Drosophila melanogaster: one gene and its partners. The protein of the gene in region 1 interacts with the protein of each later gene in a pairwise test. Each region holds a gene or a part of one and is shown on either strand. Other genes may lie near its edges. The genes, in order: CG31999, Pka-R2, Mpcp2 and CG33229.

Region 1 (7,911 bases):
ATGCGCCTGCCTTTAAGAATATGATTGCACATCAAAGATAGCTTCCACACTGTCCACATGCTTATTTACTTGATTATCGGCTCGTTCGCATACAGCAATTTGGGAAATGTGTATTTAAAAGTCACACACAAATACATTTATTTTCACAAATACAAAAATATTTTCTCGTAAATTTATACGTATGTATACAGCATCTTTGTTCGGCAAACAAGCGCATCGATGAGAGCCCCTTTTATTGGAACGGAGTACTTTATTTACTATTTTTATAGTTATAAGTCGCAGTGTCTTATATGCACTTACATACATACCTTGTTTTTAAAACTTAAATTTACGAATGAGTAAAGTGCGAACCATCTTTAAGTTAACATCGCCCAAATTTGATTATATTCAAAGTAATATCTCGAGAAAATACTGTAACATGAATATACATATATCCATTGATGTTCGATATTTCTTTATAGATAGTAATATTCTCTTTTAGAGATGTTATATTAAGTACACCCAAAATCAAACCACTTTCAGAGGAAACTAATGACGATAACACGAACTTGAAGATACAATAGAAGAAAGAACACGCTCCCTACCTGTTACTTCTTACAATTGGATATAACCTTTCACAGTACGACTAAAAAATATAAATATATTACAAACAATTGTATACACGTTTGAATTTGAACCCTAATATTCATTCGTTGAAAACTAGAATGGCGGAGGGAAGAACTGCTGACCCATAAAGAATATACTTCGAATATTCGAGCAGAATCGCAAGCCAAGTTGATCTAGCAATGTACGTCCATTTTAATTTCGTGATCTTTAAAATTTTAAAAGCTAGAAAGCTAATTTTAGATACGTATGTTCTTAAAAGTCCGATCTTATGCCAATTTGGAACTCGTACACGTTTAAAAACTGTTATTCTTTTAGTCAATTTAGTTAATTGCTTGGACACAACAAAGCGCAAAAATCTGTTAGACCCAAACCTTCAAAAAAGGTACTAGAGTATCATTTGTAACGGACGCAAATACCAAGGTTGTTCAAAAATTTACAACATTTTGTTGTGTAATTGTTTATTTACCATAGTTTTCAAAAACACTGTCCTTCTTCTATCAACACAAAAGCTGACTTTGATGTATTAATATAACTATTATCCGGATTGCAAACACTATTGCGAATAATCTTATTTACATTCGCCTTTAAAATTCGAAAATTTACTTCTCCATAATCTAGATTGCTGTATAGAAAAATTGGTAGTCGGTTACTTATAAGCCATACATTTTGATCTTTTTCTTTGTCTACTTTTAAATCATTTGGAAATTGAATAAGATTTGAGTTTTCCATATTATGAAATTTTCCCAAATGTGCTCGAGTGTATGGTTTCGATGTATCCCAGCATCCAATATCATCTTGATGAACTTGTGTAAAAAACATAATGCCATTCCTTGTAACTCCTGATGTAGATGATTGAGAATTATATCCGCGGTCTCCAATTGGTATGAAGTACTTGGCGTACTCTTGAGTATTCGTTTGCCACACAGATTCGTTTAACAAGATATTCATAGGCACCATGAACTCCTAAATGAGAAAGTATTATAATCACAATTATTATTATTATTATATCAGTTACTCGTAGAGTATAAGGGATTGCTAGTTTGGTTAATAAAAATAAAACAGAAATAAGCCTTTTCGGACCCTACAAGCTGCAGATAATTAGCTTACTTAAGATTTAGATTTATTTAAGTACCTTAAGTAAGACTGATCAAGTAGTAAGCTGTAGGAGGGGTTTTTAAAAGTAAGTCGGCGAGCCATTATTTAGACAATAAAGACAATGTTAAGAAAGGCATTTTTTAAAATCAATATCAAATCAATTCCCAGCCATTTTCTTGTCTTTATTTATATACTCCTTATACTCACCTTGAAACTTGCCATTGGATGAAAATAAAGAACGCGTTCCATTATTTTCTTATTGTAATATATACTCATTCCAAAAACACCATCCAGCCATTGAAAATTTAATCCGTATACATTAAAATCCGAAGCAAAGGGATCCGGATAAAAGTTATAGTTGGTCACGCGCCAGCTGCGGTTTTTTGATAGGCTGTAAACAAGTAGACCAAATCTCCATACATCCGATACGATAGCATGCGCATCATCGCAATCTTCTCCAATATCCACAACAATATTGGAGTGCAACGAATCTTGCTTCACATGAGAAGCTTCCAAATTGTATCGAACAATCAGTTCGTCACTTTTAAGATCATACACAACAATTTTTGGTGGGCAGATCTGATTTAAGTTTATTGTAGCATTGACAATTCCAGAATCAATTAGCCAAATTCGATCACACCTATCTACAGCTGTTCGATAAACTGACATCAGTTTTGAGCAGTCAGGATTGTTTGGATTTCCATGAGCCTCCCAGTTTGGATACGGCTTTATTGCCGGGCTTGACTCTTTTGGAGGAAAGGGCAGTGTACCTAAGCTAGCAGGCACACCATTCTTCCAACGAGGAGTTGTCACAAACAGGCGGTTATTATGGACATCAATGCCTAAAGGTAAATTATTTTTTGGTACAAAGTCTCTGTAAATATTAATATATTATAATAATTAGACAGTAAATTCAGCGCAGTAGAATAACACATAAAGCCAGATTATGATAATCCTTTATGTAACAGTCTGTAACAGCCAGAAGGAAGCGTTTCTGACCATGTTCTATATGGTCATATACAATATTCTTTATAAGGATCAATAGCCAAGTCGAACTGGCCATGTACGTCGATCTTTATTTGCATTTGCATTTTCCCTAGCTGTGTAACGGGATTCTGATAGTCGGGGATCTCGACTATAGCATTAGAGATAATGCTAGGATTTATTCATCAATATTAAAGATATGGATGAGACGCACTGAATGATTCGAATGAAAAGAAAGTATTTATAAGAACTAGTCTCCTATAGTTTTCGAGATAAGATATTAATTTGTTAATTTTTTTTCGCATTCGCAGTTCCACGAGCTGATTAACGGATATCTGATAGTCGGGGATCTCGACTATTTGTGACATAAGAGCGTCAAATAGTTTATTTTTCGAATTTTCTTTTATACCTCTCACAATACAAGCATTTTAAATTTATTAAAGGCGTATTTTTTGATTTTTTTACTAGTACTACAATTTGTTATTAATATTAATACATTTTTCAAATTATCTCTTGATTTGTAAGAAACTGTTATAACCAAATTGTTTTGTTACCCATTTAAAATAGATTGTTGGCGTTGCACAAAAGTTGAGTATAGGAAATCCAAATATTTCCATTCATAAACGATCTCCAGTTGACTTTCACTCTGTAAGTTTTGCGAAAACGACTGCGAAGTATATTCATAGCCATCAAGTGTTTGGAAAACTGGTTGAACACTTAAGTTTCCATTTAAAGTCTTCGATAAAAAAACTAACTGTGTAATTATATTAAAGATAGTCATAGACTGCATCCTAGCTGAATATTAAATAAATAATTCTCAAAAATGTACTCTATGGAATCAATCGACCAGATCTACCAACGTTTAAAGACTGATTTAATGTATGTATGTTTAAAATATCTTTTACATGCTTGTTGATGCAGATCAGAGCTTTTTTGTAAGGTATTGTGACAACGCTTAAGCTTTGTTTTAAAGCTTTTTCAACTATGTAGGTATGTATCTATCTATGTGTTGTCTTGATCTCCACCAGCCGAAATTGTTTGAATTTGTTCTTTTGTTTCGCATTTCATTCAAACGTGTAGCCTTAATTTCACTATCGGACCTGTCCCAAATTTTAATCGGTATTGAGTTTTACGAGTTTTTTCTAAACTAACCATGAGCAATATAATCCTCAGTATTAACAAAAATTTTAACTTTCATCAATTTTTTCAAATGGTTTTGATTGATCAAGAAAATTTGTATTATATTCAATATCTCAATCTATTTGCTGGCAAAAACAGCTATTATTTCAATTCCATCAAATGATTTATATAAATAAGTTTTAAAAAAATAAATAAATATTGTTTTAAAGAGTGTTGAATGAATTCAAATGTTGACATCAGATCCTTGCATGTAGATTGTTCGATCGTCACTTTTTTTCACATCTTTAAGAGTTGGTTTGGTTTGATGGGTAATAGGGGTAAATAGTCTGCGCCAAAAAAAAGTATATATATTTGTATGTATATATATTTACATATAAGCCACCATTTCCGACCCTATAAGTAAACACTTACATATATATGTATGTTGTTGATCTAGATTGCTAGCCGATTTTAAGCTCTTTGCCCCCGTCGGTCATCGTTTATCTGTGTATAGTTATTATAAAACGTAGGTATGTATGTATAATAAAATATAAAATATAATAAAAAATTCAAATTTTAAAGAGCGGACAAAACGACGGTCACAGTTAAGCAGGTATGGTTGTACCAAAGACACTAGAATAGTGTCTAGACACTAAAATAGTGTCTTTGGTTTTACCGAGATATACATACAGTTTGTCAAGAAACTGTTTGCACACTGTGAAATAAGTTGAATTTTTGGCTTTAATGGTAAAAATTAAGAGTTATTTGCTTAATTAAACGGAATTTTTTTATGAAATTTAATTAAACAATATTTATTATACTAATAAATCAAAAAACAAATTAAAATATTAAATATACAAGTCAAGAAACTCTACACATTTTGTTTTCGTACTTTGTCTTGTTTTTTTTCTTAGAACTAACTCGATTTTTCCGTGGTTTTTGGTTGGTTTGGTTTTTCCGTGGTTGGTTTTTGTATTGCATTTTTACGCTTCTATTGAAATTTTTTGACTTTGCTTGTGAAATTTTGCTGATCGAACGTGCTTAAAGTAAATTATTAAATTTGATAAAATGCCTGGAAAGAGATTAATTGTTTAAGTTACCCAATTAATAAACTATAACCACCAGTTGGGAAAATCTATTCCAGAATTAGTAGAAATGTTTTCTGTATCCCGTACGACCGTCTACAATGTTTTAAATCGCACGGAAAAAGAGGAGAGGCTTGAACCTAAGAGTCGGTTGGCGCACAACCAAAATTATCAAGCGCGTAGACCGCATTATTATACGAATAGTGATTGCGAACCCCCGAATCTCGGTCAGAGCACTTGCTCAGGATGCCAGAGAAGAATGTGACCAAATTGAATGAACATATGTATGTATGTATATTGATCATATCTTAAACGTTTTCTGCTACCTTTACCTAGTTTCAATAATTCACATTGCTCCAATTCACAAAACCTGGGATTAGCAAATAAAAGTGTGTTTAATAAGAAAATATAACAGCAGGTCGTCGAACAATAAACATATTTATGTACGTAAATACATGTAACGTATAGCGTAGGCTTATATACATACATATGTACATACATATGTCAACAGCTTGCTTTGGCCCACACGCGTTTCAGTCTTAAATCCTCTTCGTTCTAAAATTATATATTTGCTATACATACATACAAGCATATACAAACATGCATGTGTGCGCTGCTAAGTGACTGAGATAATTCCAGATAGCGTATGCACATGAGCGTTCTTTATTTTCTCATTCATTGCCTGACCTGTTCATTTAAAGCTCCCATCTTTATATTAATTTTATTTTTTACCCGGATTTGATTTCTGAACCCGTTATGTTTTATAAACTATGTGCTTTTATGTGTTTCTTGATAGTTGGAGGGCATGTCACCACCACAATGGCCAGTGGTAAGTAATGTGTAGTATACTTGCTTATATGTCAATAGATATGAATATTTATATATGTACCTGCCTACTGAAACCGCCCATTGTATATTTTGGGCAAATCTTTAAAATTGTATTAGGTTAGTTATAAAGTTATTAAGTTATAAAGTTATAAAGTTATAAAGTTATTAAGTTATTAAGTTATTAAGTTATTAAGTTATTAAGTTATTAAGTTATTAAGTTATTAAGTTATTAAGTTATTAAGTTATTAAGTTATTAAGTTATTAAGTTATTAAGTTATTAAGTTATTAAGTTATTAAGTTATTAAGTTATTAAGTTATTAAGTTATTAAGTTATTAAGTTATTAAGTTATTAAGTTATTAAGTTATTAAGTTATTAAGTTATTAAGTTATTAAGTTATTAAGTTATTAAGTTATTAAGTTATTAAGTTATTAAGTTATTAAGTTATTAAGTTATTAAGTTATTAAGTTATTAAGTTATTAAGTTATTAAGTTATTAAGTTATTAAGTTATTAAGTTATTAAGTTATTAAGTTATTAAGTTATAAAGTTATAAAGTTATAAAGTTATAAAGTTATAAAGTTATTAAGTTATAAAGTTATTAAGTTATTAAGTTATTAAGTTATTAAGTTATTAAGTTATAAAGTTATAAAGTTATAAAGTTATAAAGTTATAAAGTTATTAAGTTATTAAGTTATTAAGTTATTAAGTTATTAAGTTATTAAGTTATTAAGTTATTAAGTTATTAAGTTATTAAGTTATTAAGTTATTAAGTTATTAAGTTATTAAGTTATTAAGTTATTAAGTTATTAAGTTATTAAGTTATTAAGTTATTAAGTTATTAAGTTATTAAGTTATTAAGTTATTAAGTTATTAAGTTATTAAGTTATTAAGTTATTAAGTTATTAAGTTATTAAGTTATTAAGTTATTAAGTTATTAAGTTATTAAGTTGTTAAGTTATTAAGTTATTAAGTTATTAAGTTATTAAGTTATTAAGTTATTAAGTTATTAAGTTATTAAGTTATTAAGTTATTAAGTTATTAAGTTATTAAGTTATTAAGTTATTAAGTTATTAAGTTATTAAGTTATTATGTTATAAGGCTTTAAAATTATTACCACACTAAGGTATTTAGATTTCGGATATGAAATTGATAAATGACGAAAAAGAATGCTAGCCTCGGGCAAGGGACATCACCATATGGACTCATGTGTTGATACTGACTAAGAATACTTATAGAGTTGAAACCTTTTGATTTTTACCAATATATACTCTGGCTTAAAATATCCTGTGATCAAGCGAAAGTGAAAGTTTTATTTTGTTTTAAGACAGCATATCGGGTTATATACGAAAATGCTGTATAAATGGACTTCGACATGCTCGTACGACCGCCTCTTGCAAAAAAATCGACATAGCCCCAACAATAATCCCGCAGCTCTGGCTTGGACTTTGTCATTCTACACTTGAAGTCTGCTGTTCTCGAGAACTGGACCATCAAGATTGCGAGCTAGGTCGACTGGCTGCTTTAGACGGTACTCGCTGTGACGGAGAAGGAAATGTAACATCTAGCTCCTATGCGACATGTTGTCGTTCTTGTCAAATCGGATTAGCAGTTAAAGCGAGTAAAGCCAATTGCAAAGATCCATTATTTTCATTTATTTTCTTAATTGAATCATACCGAGCGTGCTGTTACGGATCTGCTGACTTTAAAGACCAGCCCGGTATCGACGAAATCGATAAGGCTAATTCTATTACTGATGAAGGTGAATTGCCGTTTGTTTCTGAAGAGGATATGAATGTAACTATTGTTCTTACCGGCGATGGTAAGTATATCTTATTTGTGTATCATTTGAAATCATAATTAATTGTACTCATTGGTAGATGACATATGTGGAAAAATTGAAAACCTTTGCGCTCACATATGCGAAAACACTTTCGACGCATACCAATGTAAGTGCCACCCCGGGTTTATGTTAGATAATAACAACGTAACATGCTCTCCGATGAAAACCCAAATATGTCCCAGCGGTTACAATTTAGATAAACTGGATAACAAATGCATTGACATTGATGAATGCCGGGAAGATCTTCATGACTGCAAATCATCCCAATATTGCCATAATACGAATGGCGGATACCACTGCTTAAATGTGAAAGAAAAAGAGTGTCCACCAGGATTTCATTATGACCATGATTACG
Region 2 (7,839 bases), on another chromosome or scaffold:
CATAAATGGAAGCCAAAGGACTGCTGTCAATAAAAATGCCTTTAATCCGACTGGCAACTTTTTCATTAGTTCCTTTTCGTTGGGGGGGAGGGCTGGCTCCACTAGAATTTAGTTTTTAGTTGTATTTTTAGAACATTTCCCCGTGTTGAGCAAATATTATTGATGACTTTCTATTCCAGCCCGTGCAGGGGTATCCATTATGACTGGACACGAATGCGGGGAATCGAATCAATCAATAAACGAGGAATCCCAGCTGAAACTAAGCCCAGCTGAAGTATAAGCTCCATGGGTCCAGGAAACGTGAGGACATGACAGGAATCTCCCGCCGTCCTACGACAATGAGCAGAAAGGAAGGCAAAGGAAAGTAAAGGGAGTGAGTGGGAGTGGGAGTGGGTGCTAGTGGGCCCGAGGCCATGGTGGCGGAATAAGGGCCATTCAAGGGTGGTGGCCCCGGGCCATTGAATCGAATACGCATTGAAGTCGTCCTGCCACGGCTTTCTTTATGTGTGTATGTATCTGTGTGTGTATATGTGGTGCGCACAGATTCGGGCCACAATCTCGCCCTCTTAACTCGAAATTGAATTTGGCTTGGAAATTGTGTGCTTTGCCGCTGATGGAAGCTCAAAGAAGCTGGGTTTGGAAAAATCACATTTTTGAAATTCGAAAGCTGGAAAACCCCACCAATTGGTTTTTTTGCCACGTCCAGTTTTTGAGATATGAAATTTCAAAGAAGTTCCAAAAAATTCGACATTTTTGTTTTATAAGAGTGGGCAAAAAAAAAAACTAATTTTAAAGGATAGGCAAACGAAATTATTTATTGGGCAAACGAAAAAAAAAAACAAATTTTAAATGGTGTGCAAACGTTAAAAAGTCAATTTTTTGATTTCCAAAAATTTTCGAAAATTTATATTTCAAAATATAATATTTCAAAACGTAGGCAAAAAAAACTAATTGGTGGGCAAAAACGGGCAAACGATTTTAGCTTTCAAATTTTAAAAATTCGATTTTCCGAACCCAGCTTCTTTGAGCTGCTGATGGATGTTTGTCTCTCGCCTGTTGGTTGTTGGCCAACTGTGTTGCTGGGCTCTTATTCTCCTTTGTCCGTTTGGCGAAGATGCCAAGTTTACAAAATGGAGGAATTAATTGCAAATACAGCTCATCGAGAAGGAGCTCGAGAATTTATTATCTGGATTCCGTTTTGCAACAGGGGAAAAGAGGATATTAAGAACGGGAAATGTAGTCGGATTACATAAAAAAGGGTGTAACTGGGGAATTTTGAATTCAAGCAGTTTAAAAGTCTTAAAAATAGATGGCACTGCATAGAAAGGCACCTTCCAGTTGTTTAATAGTTCCTGTTGTTATTTTCAAAGAAATCTGGGTTACATTTAAATCTAGACAAAGAATTTTAAGTTATTTGAGCAAAATGATTTTACGATTTAGTCCACGCCTAGTACTTTTTACAGTACCATTTATATGTTTATTTTTGTTTTTATAAAGCTTGTCCAACCCTTTTATTAAGTTTTTATGAAAGTAATTATTGCTTTATAAAGGTGAAGTATATATACATTTGTAGAAACAACGGGTGCCTGACTGAGCAGCAAAACTCATAATTTTCCTAAATTATGAAGTGAAGTGTGCCAACTAGTCATACTAGTTGTACTTGAATGCTTTTCTTTAATTTTCAAACTTATAGAAGCGAATTCTATAAAAGTTATCCGGGGGTATTCACTGATTTATGGCCCGCGTACTCATTTCAACAATATTCGAGTAGAGGTATGGGTACATATATGGTGGGGCTCATTCCAGAATATCTCAGTGGCTTTCTGAGCACTTCGATCCCCGCCACACTAGCTGTAGTATAACCTCACCTGGCGACCCACCTGCCCAAGCAGGCGACTTTTGCTGGCTTTTTAATTTCTGTTTGCTCTTTAGTTGTTTAGTTGTTTGTTTATCAAGCAATGCCAACCCTTGAGCAATTGATAAGCGCGTGAAATATTTAATCGCACGGGGAGCAAACACAAATGGCAGCGGAATGGAAAGGAATGGAATGGAATGGAATGGATTCCAATGCGAATGCGGCGCGATACTCACCTGACTTTCTGCTGCTTTGCTGTCACCTGCTGGTGGTGATAGTTTCTTTCGGGTGGGTGGGTCTCCTGCGTCCACCTGTTTCACCTGCTCCTCCGTCTCTTTCTTCGCTGACTTTTTTTGCCTTGTTCCTTAGCTTGCTTTTGTTGTTTTGGCTAAAACCAAATTTAATTTGTTACTCTCATGGACTTTCCTTGTTTTTCTACATTTATTTTTGGATCGTTGATGTTGGTGTTTATTGCCGCTTTCGCTGTTGTTTGATGTTTTGAAAGTATTTCGGTTAATAGATTTTGATTGCTGGATTCGTATTTACTGAGATTTGAGCGATTTTTTAGTTGTCGTGAGGTACACTTTTGAAACATCAATTAGACGAGCTCCAGCCATTAAACTAATTTTCAATCTTATCAATTTTCAATACGGTGAATTTTTGTACATGTATGTAATTAGTTTTGGTCTGGTTTCACTTTATTTGTTTTATGCCTAATATTTAATTCCCAAAAGGCATGAAATAATAACATGCCAAAAGTCACGTAAACCAATATTTAACCAGGTTTTGCAAAAATTTCGTTTAAGCTTTGAAGAAAAACATTTTTGTTGTTCGCCAATGTAACTGCTTAATTAATTGGGTGCCCGAAATTGTTTTTCGCTTGAACAGACATTTTTGTTTTCTTGTGTGCTTAACTGCAATTGTTGTTTATTTTTGAATTGCTACAGCGAGCCAGCACAATTCATTTGTTCGGTTATAAATAAAATATGAAGTGAATTCTGGTTGTCACTTTGCAAAACCTAATAGGAAACACAAATTAGCGAACAAAATTGACGTGATTATTTTGCTTATTGCTCAAATTTGATCAAAACCTGCTAAACGATGGAGGAACTTTTGTTTTTTTTTTTGCGAAATAATTTGTTCAAGTTGGCCTAAATAAACATGTTGGTTTTTGTGTATAATTAGGCATTTGTATTGTTGTTTATTCTCTACTTTCTTGCAACTCCTACGTAAATTGACTTTATTTTGCTTGACTTTTTTGGGTTTGTAATAATGTAGGGGCTAATTCTGATTGGCATCCTGAAAAGCTGGCGCCCGTGACCCAATTTCCGAATATCGATAGGCGTCGATAACGCAGGTAGCAGTTGCACTTGCACTTGCACTTTTTTGAACTATTCTTTAACTATTGTTAAATCCAAACAAGATATGATATCTGGCAAAAAAAAAACTACTGATTAGGGCAAGTATTTAGTTAATTGATCACTGCACTTGTTTAAGACTCGAAAAATAGAGCGCTCAAAACCGGCATTTGAATCATATGCGCAAGCCCCTCTCTCGCTCCCCACTCTCTCTCAATCTCTTCGCGCTCCAATTTGAGATCCCCTTTCTCCACCTGCACTCCGCACTCGCTGTCTCTTTTTCACACGCAGCTCTCGTGTTTATTGATTGTCCCCCACCGAAAAAAACCTTCAAGTAACAACAACACAACAACAAAAGCAGCGGATAGGTAGATTTCTGTATGTATGTATTTTGTATTTTCGGGGGAGGGATTGGGAGGCAGGCCACCTACACCGCCTCCCGCCTACAGCCCACTTCGTTTTTTATTACGCGCACGTAGTGTGGTTTTTTTTGCTCTCTGCTCTCACATTTTTACATACACTTGCACAATTGAAGAGAGAGCGAGAGGTGATAAGTGCACAGGTGTAGGGGCGGGGGGCGGGGGGCGGCGCGAAGCTGGAGTTAATTTGCGAGCACGCTTTTTTGTTTTTCGGGCTTTTCTCTTCGGTGCAATTACTTTTTCGACTTTTAAACGCACATTTTCCAGCGATCCACCAACGCACAACGGCACACGGTTCTATATTTTTGCCACCGGCGATTCAACCGCTGTTACTCGTTAGATTTTTTGAAAAATTTTAATGGCAAACGTAAACAAGTGCGAACGGTGAAATATATCGCAAGCAGAAGCCTCTGTATTCCGATTCCGTGTCAGGCAAAAATTACAAAAAGTTTTGAATTGCGGGTTGCTTAAATAGACTTGGTGCTCCCGCAAAAGCTCGCTCTCAGCGGAAGCTCTCTCTCTCTCGCGGCCAGCTCTCTTGCGTGTGGGTGTAAAAATACTGAAGAACATACCAAAGCGGGGCAATTGTAACGTAAGTTTTTCAACGGTTGTCTTCAGATATTTAGAAAATTAAATAAAAATATATGTAAGAAAAATTGACTACTTAAATGAAAGAAACCCCTAAAATGATAACACAATGACGTATTAAATGCAGCATTAAATGGACGTATAGTCCATTTTGAAGGACTAATAATATAAAAATCATTTTTTATTATTATAATTCCTTTGGTGGTCATAACAAACAGTGGGAACTGAAGCGAGGTCTAAACAAACGTTTAAGATGCAATATTTTAAAAACAAGATGCAGGTCGATCCGACTGTCCACTGATCATCCGTAAGGGCGTTATGATGATCGCATCATTGTATAGTCTAACGGCGGAGATGTCAAACTCGATAGCTCTATAGCTCGGATTTGTAGATAGTCCACAGCTTCATCAATGGTTGGGATCTCGGTTTTCCCGGATTTCGCTTTGAATAGCGGGTGCGTACTGTGCGTTTCCGGACTGGACTGTTCCTTCCCATTGTCCATGTTTATTGAATCAAGCGCTTTAAATTCAAATCGCAATAAATGTTTTCATTTCACTTCTTGAGAGAACTACATATGTTACCAGGTGGAATGAAAAATCTGTGCATTATTATGAACCTGACCGATTAATACCATTAACCGATAGATACCAACACTGGTATTATGTTCAGACCACATACTGTCCACCGAGGTTGCACGTGCGTATTTTGTTTGCAACAGTTTCAATCGAGTAAACGAATTGTTGATGAAAACGATGCTCGCCGCCCCCACAGCCAGCAGCAATGGGAGGCCTATTGGGCCCCACAAGTCCTGGAAGAAGGTGAACGAGGAGCGGAAAGCGTTGAAGCGGCAGCGCAAGCAGGACAAGCTGCTCAAGGAGCTGCAGCAAGCCAAAGAGGCAGAATCACAGGCGGGAAAGGCAGCCAATGAGGTGCAGGCTAAGGATAAGCCTAATCCGTCCACGCTGAGCATAGCTGTTCCCGGTTCAATTCTCGAGAATGCCCAATCCAACGAGCTGCGGGCCTACGTGGCCGGTCAAATAGCCCGGGCCGCCTGCATCTTTCGGGTGAACGAGGTAATCGTCTTCGACGACGTGGGTATAGCCACCGCCCGGGAAACAAAGCGTAGTTACGAGGCAGATGGGGAAGGCAGCAGCACTGGCACTGTGCGCAGCAGCTCATTACAACTGGCACGCATATTGCAGTATCTGGAATGCCCGCAGTATCTCCGAAAATACTTCTTCCCGCTGCACAAAGACCTTAAGTACTCTGGCTTGCTGAATCCATTGGACACACCGCACCATCTCCGTCAACAGAGCAAATTCAGGTATCGTGAGGGCGTCATTTGCGACAAGAAGGCCAAGGAGGGACACAGCTACGCCAACGTGGGGCTGCTTAACGACGTTTTGGTTGACAAGGCAATAGAACCAGGCGTCAGAGTAACTGTAAAAATGGAACCTCAAAGTGGTAGGCATTTAAATCGAACATTTGTGCTCCCAGTGCCGAACTAATGAACTATTCGTCCTAACAGAGAGCTGTAGAAAGCAGCGGGGAACACTAGTTAGCCCGGATGAACCACGTCGGGAAACAGGTGTTTATTGGGGCTACCAGGTGCGCATCGCACACTCCATGTCTGAGATTTTTACCAAATCACCCTACGCAACCGGCTACGATGTTACGGTGGGTACCTCGGATCGCGGAACCAACGTACATGAGGTGCCCAACCGATCATATAACTTTAATCACATGCTCATTGTATTTGGCGGACTGCAAGGCTTGGAATCTGCCTTGGCCAACGACGAGAAACTGACCGTAGATGATCCTGAGCTGCTGTTCGACCACTATGTAAATGTTTTACCACGCCAAGGATCTCGAACCATTCGCACCGAGGAAGCGCTGTTGATTGCTTTAGCGGCTCTCCAGGAGAAACTGCAACCGCAAGTGGCTGATGTGGAGATCGATTTGACTGATCTGCTACCTAAAAGTGAGGATTCAGGCATTGCAGTACGGCGAGATGTTTTAGTTAGCAAAAAGCAAAAGAAAAGGAAGCAAGTAGAGGATACTCCTGATGAAACAGTCGTTGATGAACCTTCATTTTCAAAACCATTGCCGAAAGTGGCTCGACTGACGGCCAATCCTTTTGCCGATTCCTCCGAGGAATTAGCGAAAAACACCCCAGCACAAGACGATTTTGAAGTGGTTTCATCCACCACCGTTTCTGGAACAAGCCACTCGTGTGCAGATGACGACTTAAGTCGGTTCGATTAATGGGAATAGTTGGAATTTTATTTTTGTAAATATACAGATCCGTATGTGTTGCTTAAAGTTTCGCTTTTGATTTTCTTGTTATTCCACTAAGCGTGTATACTATTTTGTTTTTTGTTGACGCGAGCTATAACGAGCTATATTCCTATATAGACATATACTTTTGTTCGAAATGTTCTAATAACTTTATCCTTACACACTAAATTAATACGATTTTAAATTTCAAACTCGAATGTCCAAGCAAGAATTAAGATTTTGATCTCCTAACATTTTTCGCATTATCACTTACATACATATACATTACAATTGTCTATCGACTCATTCGTAACTTAAACATAATAACCTAGTTGTCCCTATAGGATGGACTGTCTGTACCTCTGTTATTTACACACTGAAAGTATATGTATGTCGTAAGGAGGCTTCACAACTGAATCTCTAAATGTAATATGTAGCTACATTGTCGCTGGTCATGATTAGCTATGGAATCGAGTCTTGAAATCGCGGCTCTGGCAGAAAGTCCTCCTCCAACTCGATGCGCGTATCGCTGTGATATCCTAGCAAAGATTCCGTGTCCTCTTCCATATGTCGAATCGGAAATGTTTTGCCATCGCCAAAGCTAAAGGATATGTGGTGAATTATATCATCAGTGGGAAATTGATAAGTAATGAGTGCGTTATTGTGTATGTAATGGATTGATTGAAGATTCGGTGCTGTGCAGATGAAGCAAAGCTGTCATGTTTATTTATTTGGCAAACTAAAAACAAACCTTTATAAGTTTTAAATACTTTAAAATCCATTTAATTTCGTCACTTGCAGAAGTTCAATAATATATGTATTTGGGCATTAAGGTGTACAAAGTAAGAAAAAGTATAAAAACTTGCAAACAGTTACTAACTACATAAATTAAAACCATATGGAAATTACTGAATTCCGTGTGTGTTAATAGTGTGTACTGAAATCTCATTGCTTATCATTAGGTTTAAGTCTTGAAGATCTTTCGATATCTACAAGGATAGTTGGTTTCATGAATGCATTAGCAAGGTACAAATCTTCGGAGGATAACACCATCTCATCTACTAGGAAATTCCACATTCGATTCTTCTAATTTCCATTAAAAAATTCGATAAATGCGTGTGTGAAACCAATGACATATTGCCTAATGTTAACTTAGTCGATTATACATATGTGGTGATTTATATTATGGTCCCAGCCATTTAAACATTTAAATAGCCTACACTAAACAGCTGATGAATTGCATAGAGGTAACTTATTTGCTTACTAAGAACCGCAACGCTGACAAATCTGGCAGTTTACTTGGCTCTATGGTACAAAAACATACACATAATACATTCTACGT
Region 3 (7,986 bases), on another chromosome or scaffold:
AAGTGTTATAATCAGTTTCATTGACAGAGGGAGAGTCCAAAAGATTTTACCACTAACGAAACTTTTTGACCTAAGCTAATACCCGGTACAAATATCCCAATTTTAATGTGCCATTGACTTGAGGTTTACTCAATATAAAATGAGATAGGAGGGCTTATAACTACTTCTACTGAGCGAAGCCCGAATTTGTATGTCTTGTCTTTAGTCAACTTGATGGAATTTCAAAATCTATGTATAACTTTTTAAAATGTTTTATGTTTGACTGTAAAGAATTTTTGGAAAAGATAGATTTATATGTTTACCTGTATGCCTGTGTGATCGTCTACATCTATATAACTGATACTAGATTTATGTTAACTAAAAACGAAAAAAAAAACCTTATAAAAATGAAAGGAGATGAATTTTGAGGCGTGAAGCATTCAAGCAAACCATTGTTTCGAAATTTACTGCAACTGCAAAATAAAGAAAACAAAAACCAACAAAACACACATTATGAAAGAACACAAGAAAAGCAACAAAATTGTAGCCCTAAGTTTATTCGTTTTATTACTTTTTATTTCTATTCTTTTTATTTCATTATACACTTTTATCTTTTTGGTTACTTGAAACGCTAAGACTGAAATGGCTTGTTATGGAGAAGAAAACACGTCCTGCAATACATTATATAATAAAAAGAACCCAGCAATTTTCGCATCACCACATTACAGACAACAAAGTACTTTGTCCTCATCGTTCTGTGTGATCCAGATCCCCGACTATATATGATATATACACCTAGCTAGATTTAAGCGATTTGTACATACAGAAGCAAAAGCAAAACAATATACCAGAAAATTGCCTGTTAAATACATTTATATACACATATGAATTTAGTTATATCACGATGACTAGTTTTTAGTTCTTAGAGGTTATTTAGTTAGTAAGGAGCCCAACTGACGTAACGTGAATAAATCAACTATATATGTGCCCATATATAAAGCGTACTATTTAATTATTTAGTTTTTACTGGACTTATGACACAACGAGCCACTGTAATGTCTTATTCAGCTCAATGCTCATAAACAAAATAAATATTTTTGGAAAAAATACTGTAGTTCTTCTTATTTAGCCAAGACGTCCAAACCTTTTTTTAATAAATTTAATTGAGATGAAGATTTGCATTCGAATTCTATAGAAGCATCAAACAAATATTACAACAGTATCGAGTGGGTTATTAAAAATTAAATATGTAAAAATCGCTCATTGTGTTAAAATATTAATTATAATAGATTAGCTCAAACATCTTAAATCGACATTTTGTGCAACACATAAAAATTCTCGCAGACAATTGGCAGCTGATTACGATTAAACAAAACCGAAATTAGCCGTTTTCCTTTAAAGCAATCAGCATTCGTGATCTCTTGTTTGGTTACCTCACAATGCTAGTTAGTTATAGCGCCATAAAACCCCATTTTCAATGTCAGGGAAATCATAAGGTCATAAGGTTATCCCCACGATCGTTCTAATGTGATCACAGCCACAATCTATAATAACCAGTTCCCAATAGATAGACAAGATTAGAAAACGCAGCTTGGTAGAGTTTTTTATATTTTATAATTTAATTTATTCAGAGTGCTTTCTTGGGTATCGGGTCAGACAATTGAAACAGCATTAATATCATATTCGCATGTGTGGCCTGTGGGGGCAGCGGAGAGGAGATAACAAGGGGCTGGCCATCAAAGGTACAACATACGGACATACTTTCCAGCGAAAGCTAGACACACATAGGATTAAATATAGCACATAGTATAACAGAATATATATGGAATTGAATACTTTGAACTTGAGTGTAGCTTAGTTTCGTACGATAGAATGTTTGGCTTTTAAAGTTAGAAAGATGTGTTTATAAAAAAGTGTGTATAAGTGCTGTGTTAGAGAAATGCGTAAAGTGTTGTTTTGGAATGTACATGTGCAATGGCACACACGCAACATTAATGTATTCTTGCTGAGAAACAAGTATAAAGCATTTTCGCTATACTGAAACCGAAATTCGTTAGAAAGTAAAAGTATGTTGCTCCTGTGTCTGCCCACAATCGCTCCAACTAGTGAACTCTGTCCTTAAGGTAACCAATTGGACTAGCCCACTTAATGCTGCTTGGCCTTCAGGCTAGCTGGCATCTCTGGTGGTGGTGGGCGGGGAATGCCCAGGGCGACCTTCACACCATCGTAGATGAACCACTGCAGAGCGGTCAGGGTACCGATCATGATAATACGAGGAGTCAATCCGTTCCACATGCCACTGAAGCCCAGCGACTTGGCCACGCTGATGGCGCTAGCTCCCTTGGCCTGGTTCAGCTTGGACACCACCACATCAGCGGGATGCGACACCACGGCACAGAACACACCGGCGATGTAGCCAGCGGCGAAGGTCACGATCAGCTGCTCGCCCTTGGTGCAGTCGGCACGAGGCTTGGGCACCACATACCTGGGAAAAGTTGCATCATTAGTATTGATTTAACGGGGTTCGTTGGGGCTTGACAACCCGAACTGTGAACGGTATTGCTCTAGTTTTTACATTTGAACTTTCAGTGGCTACCTGCTAATTTGCACTTCAAAAGGAATGCTTTGCTTTTTTTATTTTATCCATAGTAACAAACTAGTTCTGAAATAATATGATTTTCCTATATTTGAACAAGATAAGCATTCGTCGTTGGTTTTTATTCTGGCGTGCCATTTATTAGATACGAATGGCATTCTTATCTGCTGACGCGCTAAAAGTTTATTTTATTATGAATACTTTCAGTTTTGATCAATTAGCATATCACTTTTGAAATTTCACAGATTAACAGTCTACCTTTAAACTATTGTAATAGCAAAACGCTAATACGAATACAGATATTGTGCACAGCACTGGTAAGTTTTTCCGCTGTAGAAACTAGAGGATACCTAAAGAGGAAATGTTACTTACTTGTAGAGCAGCTCCACGGTGCGCTCGAAGCAAGCGAACTTCATCATGGTGTATGGGATCTGTCGCATCCACAGGGGAACCAGACCCTTGTAGAAGGCATTGACGCCCTCCTCCTTTAGCATCTTGGGCACTGCCTCGCGGAAGTTGTTGGCGTATCCGGGAATAGTCTGGATCTTCACCTTGGCGGCCTCGAACGGCGCCAGAGCGATATCGGCGAAGAACTCGGCCGAAGCGGAAGCAGCCAGATACAAGGAGGTGCGGTACAGGTAGGCGTTCTCCTCGCCAATGATTTCGGCGTACTTCACCTTGAACAACTCGTACAGACCGAACTTGCACAGACCCTGAAAGATACAGAAACGCGGATTAGCCTGCTGTTTCTCAGAAGTTATTTTTCAGTTTGCAGTAGTATCCAAGATTTTATCTTCGGTATCTGTTTCTCCCGTAACCATAAAGTTGTCAAAGGTGTGTTGTTATTCTGAGGTATACTAAGATATCAGCCTAGGAATCAAACTTCCTAATGTTCGATTCGAATCACTTTTATCTGCTTCAAGCCCGGAACCGATGTAATTAAGGTCAGCCGACCTGGTCACGAGCATATAATTCGCCTCCAGACGATTATGCAACCCATAAAGTGAAGCCCAATCTCACCTGTGCCGAGTAGCCGAGCAGAGTGGGGAACCAGCCCTTAGCCAGTCCGCGGGCGCCCTCCTCCGCCACGGTGACCTTGAATCCGTGCACCAGATTCTTGTACTTGGCCTGGTCGACCTGCAGACGGCACTTCACCAGATCCAGTGGGACCACGAAGGTGTGGGTGGTGCCGCAGCTGAGAATGCCACCAATTCCGCACAGAGCGAAGTACTTGGTGCTGCCGAATTCGCACGAATCCTGCTGGTTGGCCACCGGGGTAGCGGCGGCGGCGATCTGGCGACCCTCAACCGGCTGGGGTTCCACCACTGGGGCGGCGGCATCGCATCTTGCCATCGACATGGGGGTGCGGAATGGCGAGTTCCGGGCAGTTTCAAAGAAGCTGGAGAACATCTTGATTCTGTTCTTGTTCTGGGGTCGGCTGAAAGTAGAGAGACCATCCATTAGTTACGTATATATGTACCTCGGAGGCGACATGTGCTTTATCTAATTATATATATAGCTGGGTAATCAGCTGCTTTTCGCTTTTGTAGGTTACATAACGGCGTGCCTCGAATTCCGAGCACCCGGACTTACGACACCAAATTTACCCGAAAAGCGAAGGATTTTAAGCAACCACGTAAATTTAGTGTATGTTAAGGGAGCGATAGAGCACCGCTCGGCTACTTTGATTTCGATTTTACAAAACTTATGCAATTTTCGCTCGGAATTTTCGCACTTACTATTCGTCAGCAACGTTAGCGGCTCGTTGGCGAGGATTCAAAGAATGAGGGGGGGCTCACGGAGGTGCAGCGATTTCTCACGAATACCAAAACGCCTTAATGGTTTTGCCGTGGAGAGGTGTAACTAGCGGATTGAGGATAGTTGGCCACACTCATGTCAAAATCTTCGGCTATGGACTGCAACCTTGGTGCAAAACTTTGGTGGCGCCTGAGCGTGGACTCGAACCATCTGCATACGAGGTATCAGGTGAGATTATTTTAATGCCATTGCCTTCGTTGTGAATAAAATATTAATTATTAATATTAATTTCATATTGATAACATTAGTTGTAAATATTTTGAAAAAATAATAAATTCATTTGTAAAATCCTCATATTTTTGCATAGTATTTGTGATTTGTTTTCTATTTTTACACAATAAAACAAATTTTAATCTAAAGCTTTATTGTATTTAGAACTCTCTGTAAAATATATAACAATTTTCAATTATATGTACATTTTAAATTTATAAGTTATAGCCCCATGGTAAAACTGGATAATTTTATGAGTAAATATGTGAAAATAAAGTTCTGCCATGATTTCACATGGGGTTGGCCCAATCCTTCACTTTTTACGCACGGACAGGAAATTAGGCCTTTGTATTCCATTTTATATTTCACTCTGCAAGTGAAGCAAAATTCACCCTGGTGATCTTCAGTTAATAAGATTTGACAACCGATTTCTGGTGACCAAACGCAGCAGACTTTGGCATTCATAGTATCTGTAAAATTAAAAAATTAGTCTTTTATTACTATTCAAATGCTTCTTATACCGATATGCAGTCCGGGTGGAACGCAAACACCCTCTTTATTGGTTGTTTTTGGGAATTCACCTTGTAGACGACCCAATCGCCTATAAAAGTTTCCTTCATAACAACTGAATCCTGTCTCTTTAATCCGACACATTTCCGTATTTTCCTTCCTACAATCTAAGCATCTCCCATTTTCTATTATAGATACGTTTTTTTCGGCACAGGTGATCAACAGTCTCCCACTGAGTATAATAAGAAAATATATACAATTAAAAGACATTTAAAATAAGAAAAATAATTCAATGAGACCGCGTTGATAAAGTTTATGTATGTATTTCCAAAGGCCACTATGTACGACTATTGTTACAAAACGAACAAAAGTGACTGATAATATACACTTGGATATTTATATTATGTAGGTTATTATTAAGTTCAAGGATTATTTAAGCCTTTCCGCCTTTTTTGTGGTTCTTACCAAAAGAACTTCAACGGACTCTTTCGCTAAGCTTTGAGTCTGTCTTTCGATTGTCTTTGTGCTTCTTTCTTTTTGTTTGCCGCCGTCTTTGCTTTTGCTTGTGCTTTTGTATTTGCTGTGTTTGCTCGCTCGTGGATTTCTGTGGAGTGAAGTTCGGTCGTCAGTTTGAGTTTGGTTCGTAGCGCGTTCGCACACGCGCGCTGTAGTAGTCCGATATATAGTTGATTCCCATTCGATCCGAGATCCGATCCGATATGATCGTTGTTGTGCCCCTCGCCGCCTCTCGCTCGCTCTAATCAGTTGGCCAACGTTTTAGGTCTGCGTACTTCGCGGCTAATTTCCAACTTAAGAAGTGAAAAACAACAAAATCTGGCAAATAATTGAGTAATTAAAGTTAAACGTAAGGAGAGCTGCTCTGCCAAGTGTTTTGTGTTAGTGCTTTTGTGTAACGGTCTGCTAACTGGAGCTGGATCTGAAATAGAGATTACGGCAAAGTGTTTTAGTAAATTGAATGTGGATAAGTTTTGAAAGCTTGAGAGTGGATGCGATAAACTGATCGATTTGGGTTTAGTCTGAGAAGAGGAAGCTTAAGTCGAAAAGTAATCAAGAGATTGGTCATGTTTTTGCAAGCGGAAAAGAAAGTTTGATTTAGGAGAATCGAAAAGTGATAACAAATGAGATATGAACTTAAGTGAAATATGGTTTAAGTAATAATAATATAATACATAATATGCATATACAAATGAATGAATATATCTTTCTAAAGAAAATACAATTAAGTTTTTAAAAATATTTCAAAATATCCTGTTAAAGTCTAGATTGAAGTAATCAATTACAATAACATTACACTTTGTATTGGATAAAATCAATAAAACATTGCAAATGTAGCTTTTTGAAATGTTTTGAATGGTATTAAAAACACCTTCGATCAACATAAAGAAAAGCTCACTGCATGTTGTAAGTGATCTCATAAGATTATCTCATTTCTATAAGCGGCAAATAACATGTAAACTCTGAACTGGTCATTTTAATTGATATTATCTTAGTAAATCTGTGTACATTAGGAAGATTCTATATTTAATAAATTAGGTTCCGAGTCTTCTAATATTTCTTAATAATTCTGACTGTTAGTGGTTCTCCTTTAAACAATTCATGGAATTTTATTGCCCATTTAAAACGAAGTGAGTCCTAAAGAAATTCAAAGAAAAACTAATCAACACCAGTTGCGACTAGTTAACCAGCAACAAAAATTGGCAACTTCCTTCAGTTGGGCGCCAAGTCATTAGCTACCCCAATCCTCCTCCTTTTTTCGCCAGTTTGGGGGCCCACTCAAAGTACCGCTATGACTAGACAGGCCTTGTCCATATATTTCTTTATTTTTTTGCTTACGAATATATATGCAGCCATTAGCCACCGCATCAACAAACGAGACGCCACAAACACACTCTGATCTTTTGAGGCGTTTTGAGGCGTTTTGACGTTTGCTTTGGGGCCCCTTCACTTTTTGTTGTGGCACTGCAAGAAATTGTTTGCTAGAAAGTCATTCCACAATGTAAAATTCGAGATAGAGACACTTCCTGTGTATGCTGAAATTTACAATTTACAACAAGACGACAAACTTTTAATACTTAAACTGTTCTAAAAATTTAAAAATGGTTTAAATTTTATTTATAATGCAATCTTAAAACCCCTATTTTATTTATTTGTTTATTGTACCTTTCTCGCTCTTACATCTTATCACTACTTTTTCTGCGTGCAGATCGTGGTTTTTTCGTGTTCGGGTGAAAAAGTTGCCGCGGCAAGTGCAATTCGCAGTTTGCCGTTCGCGATTCGCATTCCGCTGGCCGAAAGTATCTTTGGAGTTTTGCATCTTGTGGATGTCTGCCGCGGTTAACTGTAAATTGAGGCATGTGCCGCACACTCTCCCCATCTTTCTCTTTCTCTATGTCGCTAGATAGGCGCTCTCTTTCGTCTGTCAAGTTCAATGTGCGTTGACAATTTTCCGTTTCCAAATGGGCGATGTTTTCCACGTTGCTTCTTGTACTTTCACACACATTGGTTTTCCATTGTTGCTGCGCAACTGTGCGTGTACTTTAATTTATTTTAAATCGAAAGGCAATTTAAATTTAAGCATCAGTAAAAATAAAAAATGCAAAACCTAGTGAGTTTTTTTTTGCGCATTCAACCCGGAACTTAAGGTATAGGAGTACCCGAAATCAGCCAGTCGCCCTGCCGTTCGAGTCGTGTGTGGATGTTTTCCAAGCAATGTATCTACGTATCTTTTCATCCTCATCGCAAACGCAATGCATAAATCAACGACGGAAAGAAGAAAAAATCTCTGCTTCGCTTTTTTGTTAGTTTTGTGAAAGCGCAAGTCGTAGCGTAATTTTTACACTTTTACCAAAGAG
Region 4 (7,000 bases), on another chromosome or scaffold:
TAAATGAGCAATGTAAAGATCCAACCATTTCTCAAACGCTGTTAAAGTCCCAAGAATAGACGGTTCGCTGTTGGATTTACTCAGAAGCTATAGATGAGATGTGGGCAGGCACATTCAACGGGAACAGCTTGAAAACAGAAAAAAGTTTTTCTCCATACTTTAATTAAATTTGTGTGGTGGTCCAACTACGTGGTACAATTCCATAGCATCTAAACTGTTCCACAACATGTATTTCTATAAAATACGAGAGAAAAGGGTATCGATTGCACATTCCTTACAGAGGCCGTGTACAGATTTGAGTCTGTTCAAAATGTTCCCTCTTGCGTTTAACAATAACTCTTGATTTGCAGGCTTTAATTATGGGCAGGTACATTCAACTGCACCCATAATGCTACAAGACAAAAAATATTTTGGACATAAAATCACAAATTTACATGTATTGGGCGGGCCCATAGCGCCGAGTTGGTATTCTCTGTAGATTATCAGTCCATGAAAATGTATTTCTACAAAATACGAAAGAAAAGATATCGGTTGCATATATCTTAGCTTTTACGCTTGTTCAGTTGATTAGTTATGCTTCTTTGCACATATTCTAATTGAGGGATTGATGTCGCAGGAGCGTTGTTTGGGGCCATAGAATTGAAGACCTCAATCTTCCGCCTCGCTAGATTCCATTTATACATGCCCGCAGGCACCGATCAACTGCGATGCAACGCTATAAAAAAAAAAAAAAAACGAAATGTGATGGTCGTGCCTAGTCTACAAACTCTTTGACGCCTGCTTGCGCATAGATTTGCTGGAAAGATCCTCGTCTGGAGCCCTCAAGACCGTGAATACTTGAAGACCGCAAAGCAATCCCATCAAACAAAAGCACCCACAGGAACCGATCAACTGTGACATGCAGCTACAAAGATTTAAGCGGCCTTATCTAGCCTATTGATTAGGAAGATGGGGAGTTTGAATGGAAAGGGGTCCAATAATCGCTTGCCAAAATCACAAACGGTGAAAGAGAAGTCCAGAAAAGTGTACCGAGCGAAGACAGAAAGATAAAAACTCGACGACTGCCTTTCAATTGTATATCACAATAACAATCGCACACGGTGTTCACCCGAAAGGATTACAGCAGTTCCTCAATGTCGTTTCGATGATAAATGAATGCTCCGCTGTTCTTTTCTCTGGAATTTTGTTTAAAAAGCAATATTTTGTTCGCAGCTGATATACCAAATACCGTGTATCTGTGCGGATGGGTGGGTGGTGATCAGCAGCTGCGAAGCGTTCAATGCAGAATAGGTGGTGATTGTCGGTGGTTGGCAACAGCACGAGAGCTTCAAACGCAGGTAAGCTGATGCGAGCTGGAGCTGCTGCCGCGCGCATTCCGCCTTGTCCCCAATGTTCTGTCCGCTGCGACTGAATTGCATGGGCATTGGCATGCAGAGGAGACTCGGTGGTGTTTGCTGCTGCTGCTCCCTGCTCCGGCGATCTGTGTAGAATCGGCCATCGGCTGGTTTGCGGAACTCAGTGCCTGGCGGTGGACGTGGGGGGACTCGGACAGACGTTGAGACTCACTCAGTAATTCTACAACGCAACGTCATCGTCACTGCGACGATCGTGTTCGGGATTCTTCTTTACCAGTACCAGCCATAGTCGAACTATTGTTGCTACCGGGACGCGGATTCATTCAGTGACCCACTGCGACGTAGTTTCTTGTTTGTGTTCCGTTCCTCATCATCGTTGCCATTAACGTGCGAGGAGCAGGAAACTGCAAAACAAAATTGATTATAGGTGCGGGTTATGTCAAACGGGGAGAGGGTTGGTGCTTGCTTAGCAACAAATCTGAGTCTGGTCTGGGTGAATAATAAATAAAGGCAACGTTGATTTTAACAGTTATTAATTATAATAGTTTTATTTTAGGTTTTATCAAATATCAGTTCTGTATGCTTACTTTAAGTACATTTACAGTTAATAGTTGGGTTTTCGACTTTCACTCGTTTACTTTGCAATATTGCCCGTTTTCTAGCGCTAGTGATTCAATATGAACCGTATGTAACTCGCAGAAGTGGCGATGACGAACGTTCGAATTTAATTCGAAATCGAATTTCTCGACACATCGGACAACAAAAGTAGCTCAACTTGGTGTACACAAAAATAGCACGAGCGTTCATGCTCACACACCATCGCGACATGTAGATGTGTTAATGTGTATGCATTGTGTAAGTATATCGAGTTTTTTTTTTCTTTGTCTGACCGATTTCGTGACGTTTGGGATGCCTGTAAGCGACGTCTTATTTCGCCACACTCATTAAGCTACGTAATTTAACTAAAAAAAATATACTTATTTACAAACCGAGTGTGCTCCGTGACCAATGCTTGGTGGGCTTTTCGCATAGATGGTGGCAGCGCCCATGACTCACACCACTTTCGATTTGAAGGCCGTTTGCTCAGCGTCTCCTCACACTCTTCCAATCCTTCATTCTTTCTTTACAATCTACAACAGCCTTGCACATGTTTGCGACTGCAAATGAGAAATTGGTTGTCGTAATAAAACTATTTTAACAGAAGACAAATAGGGCTAAAGCTACGTATTTGAACAATGGTATACGGTTTGATTCGAACGGGCAGCTGAAAACTAAACGGTTCCTTCCATCCTGACGCCATTTTGTTTATATAGATGTGTGTGTCAGCCACGCATACACATAAAGTACGCACCATACGGTCGTCTCTGTCTAACTAACTGGCCACGGCAATGGCGCAGCTGTGCTGCTCATTGTTGCTGTTATTGTTATTGCTGGCGCCCGTGTAACTGTTGCTCCCATTGTTATTGTTGTTGCATGTGTCTTGGTTGCCATTGTTGCTGCTTAAGCTACGCATAAAACTGTCGAGGCTACTAAGCTCGCTGCTCCATAAATTGCTTTCCGCCTCTGCTTCTGCGGCAGCCTTGGTGGTCGAGGTCGCCACTGCAGAGTACGCGTCACTGGCGCAGTGCGTTCTGCCGTGGGGCACAAACCGTGTTTGAATGTCCAGCCAGCGACTGAAGCGCTCCTGCTGCTTTCTACGCAGCTCGTGCTCTGCGTGGAGCAGGGCCGTCGACAAAATGGCGTTCACGCGTAGGTCGCTGCCAGCGCCTCTTAGCTTGCGACGCATTTTCTGGCGCTTAACGCGGAAGTTACGGACCCAGTCGGTTAGGGTCTTGGGGTTCTCGGCTGCGTCGCACTCGTCGTAGTACGCCACCATTTCGATGATCTCACAGGGTTTTTGTTTGCGACGACTCGAAGAGAAAATTGAGAATTTGGTATACACACACCTTCACTTCGTAGTTGCTACTAATCTCTTAGCGGACTGCTTATGACTGTTCTACACAACGCACTCTTTTTAACTGGGTAGAGCGCGTTGTCTGCGCGCCCTTTTATAGCTCTGCTCGCAAATCTACGCGTTTTTCTTGTCTCAGCCAGCAGGGAAACTGTTTTTTGGGGACGATTTCTGCTCGAATGCTGGCCCTACGGATCGTGATAACCACACAAGAACACGGTCTCGTTTCTTGAAAATCGATGTCCGACGTCATATTTTAGTGGTCTTCATGGGCATGGCAAAAAACTTCAATTCAAAGTAGTGGTTTTTAACTTAATTTTAATGAGTCGTCCATTTTGTATGTACAAAAAATCCTAAAAAATACCGCAAAAGTATACTGACTCAGTATATTGGTTGGGACAGTCTAACGAGGGGTGATTGATGTCTTCTATGAAATTGTAACTATAATCTGCGCTCTACATTGATCTGTTGATCTGTTTTGCATATAAGAGCAGAAGAGAACGATAAGGTCCAGTTTCTCGACTATGATATACCCGTTACCCAGGAAAAAAAATATATAAAACATTTTGGAGAGTTGCTGTGCATTAGATGGTATACCGGTAGAAATTGGAAATAGACTAATAAAATAAAAATAAAATAATGAGAAGAATAAAACCAAAACACTTTTCATAAGTGGAGGTGTTGCAGTTTTGGCCGGCTTCATAGATTTTTAGAATGGGCGTTGCCACATCTGCTGCCTAATATAAACTGTATACCTTGTAGGTACTTTTCAACGGACCTAGTACACTGCAAAAAATCCCTATAATTATGAAAAGGCAGCGATATATGTCGAAGTATGGGACATCCTCAACAAAATACTACCCCTAACTTACATGTAGTGTATTTCGAGTTGAATATGGCAAAATGCCAGGGCTGGCGTCTAGAGATTGGTTGGCGGGCTATTTAACAGTATGTTTTATATTCCTACGCACCTTGCTAGCCGCTCACTCGTCCGTACCGCAAGTAGACCTACGATGAACAAGTGCGAAGTGTTGGAGGCACTGGAGGCCGAGATCTGGAACGATCGGTTCAGTTCGACGTACAACTTAGCTGCCGTCGGTCGTGCACACAATTAACATATCCAGTGGCGGATCAGTGGCAACTGCGAAGGTGGAAAGTGGGGGGAGCAGCTGCGAACGTGAAAAATTAGCACAGATTGCCATTGCCAGCGGTGCGAAGAATCCGCCAGACATCCAGATATTCCAACAAATATCGAAGTAAACCGATCGCACAAGAGAACGTCGCCACACATGCAGCAATATCACACAAATTAGGGGCACAAGAGATTTTGAGTGTCCGCACATATTGGCCTGGGGATAATTATTTGCGTGTCATGACTTATTAGCGATCGCAGCCTATCTCCGCGAATAAGTGTAAGTAGTCGACCCCAACAAGAAGGGTGGGCCGACCCGAACAGCAGCCGGAGCCAGCTGAACAGTCGCCCGACTCGGCCGCATCCAAAAGTTTATTGTTGTTTGGTCCACGGGAGTGTAAACAAATCGGCGCAGACAGAAGTGGCGGCGTTAAGATGGAGAACGTGCGCTTTTCAATTATTGTAAGTAAAACGACTTGGCCTACATGCCTCGCGCTTTCAGCCGCCTGCAATTCTTTGTTTCTTTTTGGAAGGAAAACGACTTGAAGTGGAACTCGGAAAGCGATCCGACGGCGGATGTAGACTTGCTCTTGGACAAGCGGAGCATATCCAGTGAGGCCAACAGCGCCGGAGTTTTTAGCGACGAGGCGCACGAGATATTTGCGCGCCAACAGCAGAACCAGATCCTCTGGGACCTCGACGAGGTTAAGGAAACCCTGACCGAGTCTCCAGGCGGAAAGCATGTCGTGGACATGGTTCAATCTGGCTGTTTCCTGGGTGAGTACCTCACAGCACGGTACCTAACATATCCCAGACTAACCCCCACATAGAACTAATGACCGACTCTGCTGACTGCAATCTGGCGCTGATCTGCTGCTCGGTATTCGGGAGCGTAGAGAATACTCTCTTCCTACTAAAACACTACAACGCGGATCCGAATGTGGCGGACAGTCGGGGTCGGACCCCACTGCATTTCGCCTGCTGTCGGGCAAACGCTCCCATAGCTAAGGTTCTCCTCGACTTCGGCGCTGACCCCAATCGCTGGGATGCCAGGAAGGAGGTCACGTCGCTGCACTGTGCGGCCAGGTAAAAGGCCATTCATTTGATTGCGCTTCCCACATGTGCACAGCACTAGACACGTAGTTTTAATCAAGCGACTCCCTATTAGCTCAAAAAGCGTTGAATGCATCCTGCTGTTGCTGCGGCGAAAAGCGAGCATCAACATTGGGATCGAAAAGCGTTCCGCTCTGCACTATGCCATCGATGTGAATGCCGTGGATTGCGTTGAGATCCTGCTGAAGTACGGAGCCGACCCAAACACACCGCAGGTGTACACTGAAACTCCACTGCACACCGCCAGCGCCGCAGGATTCGCCAAATGCGTCCAGCTTCTTCTCAGTCACAACGCCGACGTGCGATCGCAGTTTGGCGAGGGAAAGGTTACGGCCCTGCACTTGGGTGAGTAGTGGCAAGGGGTTTACAAGTGCTTTGCAAAATAGATTGGTAAATCCACAAATTGCAGCTGCCGAAAACGACTATGTAGAATGTGCTCGCTTGCTCCTGGAACACCGTGCTGAGGTGGACTGCCGTAACGCCAGCCATCAAACGCCCTTGCACCTCGCCTGCCTTTCGCAGTCAATCGGCACCGTGGATTTACTGATATCTTACGGAGCCAATGTGAATGCCGTTTACCGAGATGGTAGAACCGCGTTGCACGCCGCCATCGTTAAGCAGTCGCGGAGTTTGGACTGCTGCAATGCCTTGCTAAAGGCGGGAGCGGATGTTAACAAGGTAGGCGGCAGATCACTATGAGAGCTGATCACAAAAAACCATTATTTAATATAATGTGCTTTTTCTACTAAAAAGTATTGTAAATGATAATGAAGATATTAGTATAAACCGCTTCGCTTTTCTTAATGAGGAAGGGTCAACGAAATTAATTAAATTACTTAATCGTCAAAAACGTTATTTCGGAATTTTATTTTAATAAAACTATAACCAAACTGAGAACTAGGAGCAATAGCAGCCGAGGCATTCAGTTTGTGAGACAACGACAAGAATTTTATATAAAGGCTTATATTGATCTTTATCTGGCTACTTACCATACGCTTATATCCTACATAAAATATAATTTTATAAACTTTTATAAACGTAAGCTCCTAGCTCATCAACTAAAGTGAATGCATACGGGAAGATCGGTTCAATTCGAGCATACCATGTTATAACATTCATTAAATGTTGTAAATCAAATAATACAATACAGTAACTTTAGTGAGAATACGTTGCATACATACATTTGTGTAGGGCTCCAGTGGCTCTTTACGTCATTCTTAGAGTGAAACCTAAACTAAAACTAAACTAAAATCTTAACAAACATGGAGCCTTCTTTGTAAAGTTTTACAAAAGTAAAGCCATAACGTTTTTTTTACTTACGATTAGAATAATGTATGATTATTACTTACAGGCAGACAACTATGGATATACACCACTGCACATTGCAGCACTGAATGAATTCAGCAGTTGTGTGTACACGTTCATAGGCAAGGACATGTATCATCTTTT

What was found.
Region 2: the proteins of CG31999 (region 1) and Pka-R2 interact in a two-hybrid assay, tested with the Drosophila melanogaster proteins (one large-scale study listed by BioGRID).
Region 3: the proteins of CG31999 (region 1) and Mpcp2 interact in a two-hybrid assay, tested with the Drosophila melanogaster proteins (one large-scale study listed by BioGRID).
Region 4: the proteins of CG31999 (region 1) and CG33229 interact in a two-hybrid assay, tested with the Drosophila melanogaster proteins (one large-scale study listed by BioGRID).

What each region holds. Positions count from the first base shown.
Region 1 is NC_004353.4:223,569-231,479, reverse strand, and holds the start of CG31999 (uncharacterized protein), read left to right. Parts: upstream 1-3,731; 5' UTR 3,732-3,804; intron 3,805-4,929; 5' UTR 4,930-5,645; coding exon 5,646-5,718; intron 5,719-7,040; coding exon 7,041-7,535; intron 7,536-7,593; coding exon 7,594-7,911. Other genes in the region: yellow-h, read right to left, coding at 1,081-1,569, 1,909-2,575, 3,240-3,475.
Region 2 is NT_033778.4:10,021,960-10,029,798, forward strand, and holds the start of Pka-R2 (protein kinase, cAMP-dependent, regulatory subunit type 2), read right to left. Parts: upstream 4,084-7,839; 5' UTR 3,870-4,083; intron 2,401-3,869; exon of another isoform or gene 2,244-2,400; 5' UTR 2,092-2,243; intron 1-2,091. Other genes in the region: CG12128 (uncharacterized protein), read left to right, coding at 4,964-5,684, 5,749-6,485. UniProt on the Drosophila melanogaster protein: Regulatory subunit of the cAMP-dependent protein kinases involved in cAMP signaling in cells. Mediates membrane association by binding to anchoring proteins, such as Akap200. Might play an essential role in the regulation of neuronal activity in the brain.
Region 3 is NT_037436.4:14,534,031-14,542,016, reverse strand, and holds Mpcp2 (mitochondrial phosphate carrier protein 2), read right to left. Parts: upstream 4,367-7,986; 5' UTR 4,315-4,366; intron 4,292-4,314; exon of another isoform or gene 4,169-4,291; intron 4,014-4,168; 5' UTR 3,986-4,013; coding exon 3,596-3,985; intron 3,289-3,595; coding exon 2,948-3,288; intron 2,465-2,947; coding exon 2,125-2,464; 3' UTR 1,576-2,124; downstream 1-1,575. Other genes in the region: CG43246 (uncharacterized protein), read right to left, coding at 4,826-5,073, 5,125-5,383.
Region 4 is NT_037436.4:220,485-227,484, reverse strand, and holds CG33229 (uncharacterized protein), read right to left. Parts: upstream 3,634-7,000; 5' UTR 3,232-3,633; coding exon 2,728-3,231; 3' UTR 1,880-2,727; downstream 1-1,879. Other genes in the region: pyx (pyrexia), read left to right, coding at 4,874-4,900, 4,972-5,215, 5,269-5,524, 5,607-5,896, 5,961-6,229, 6,903-6,978.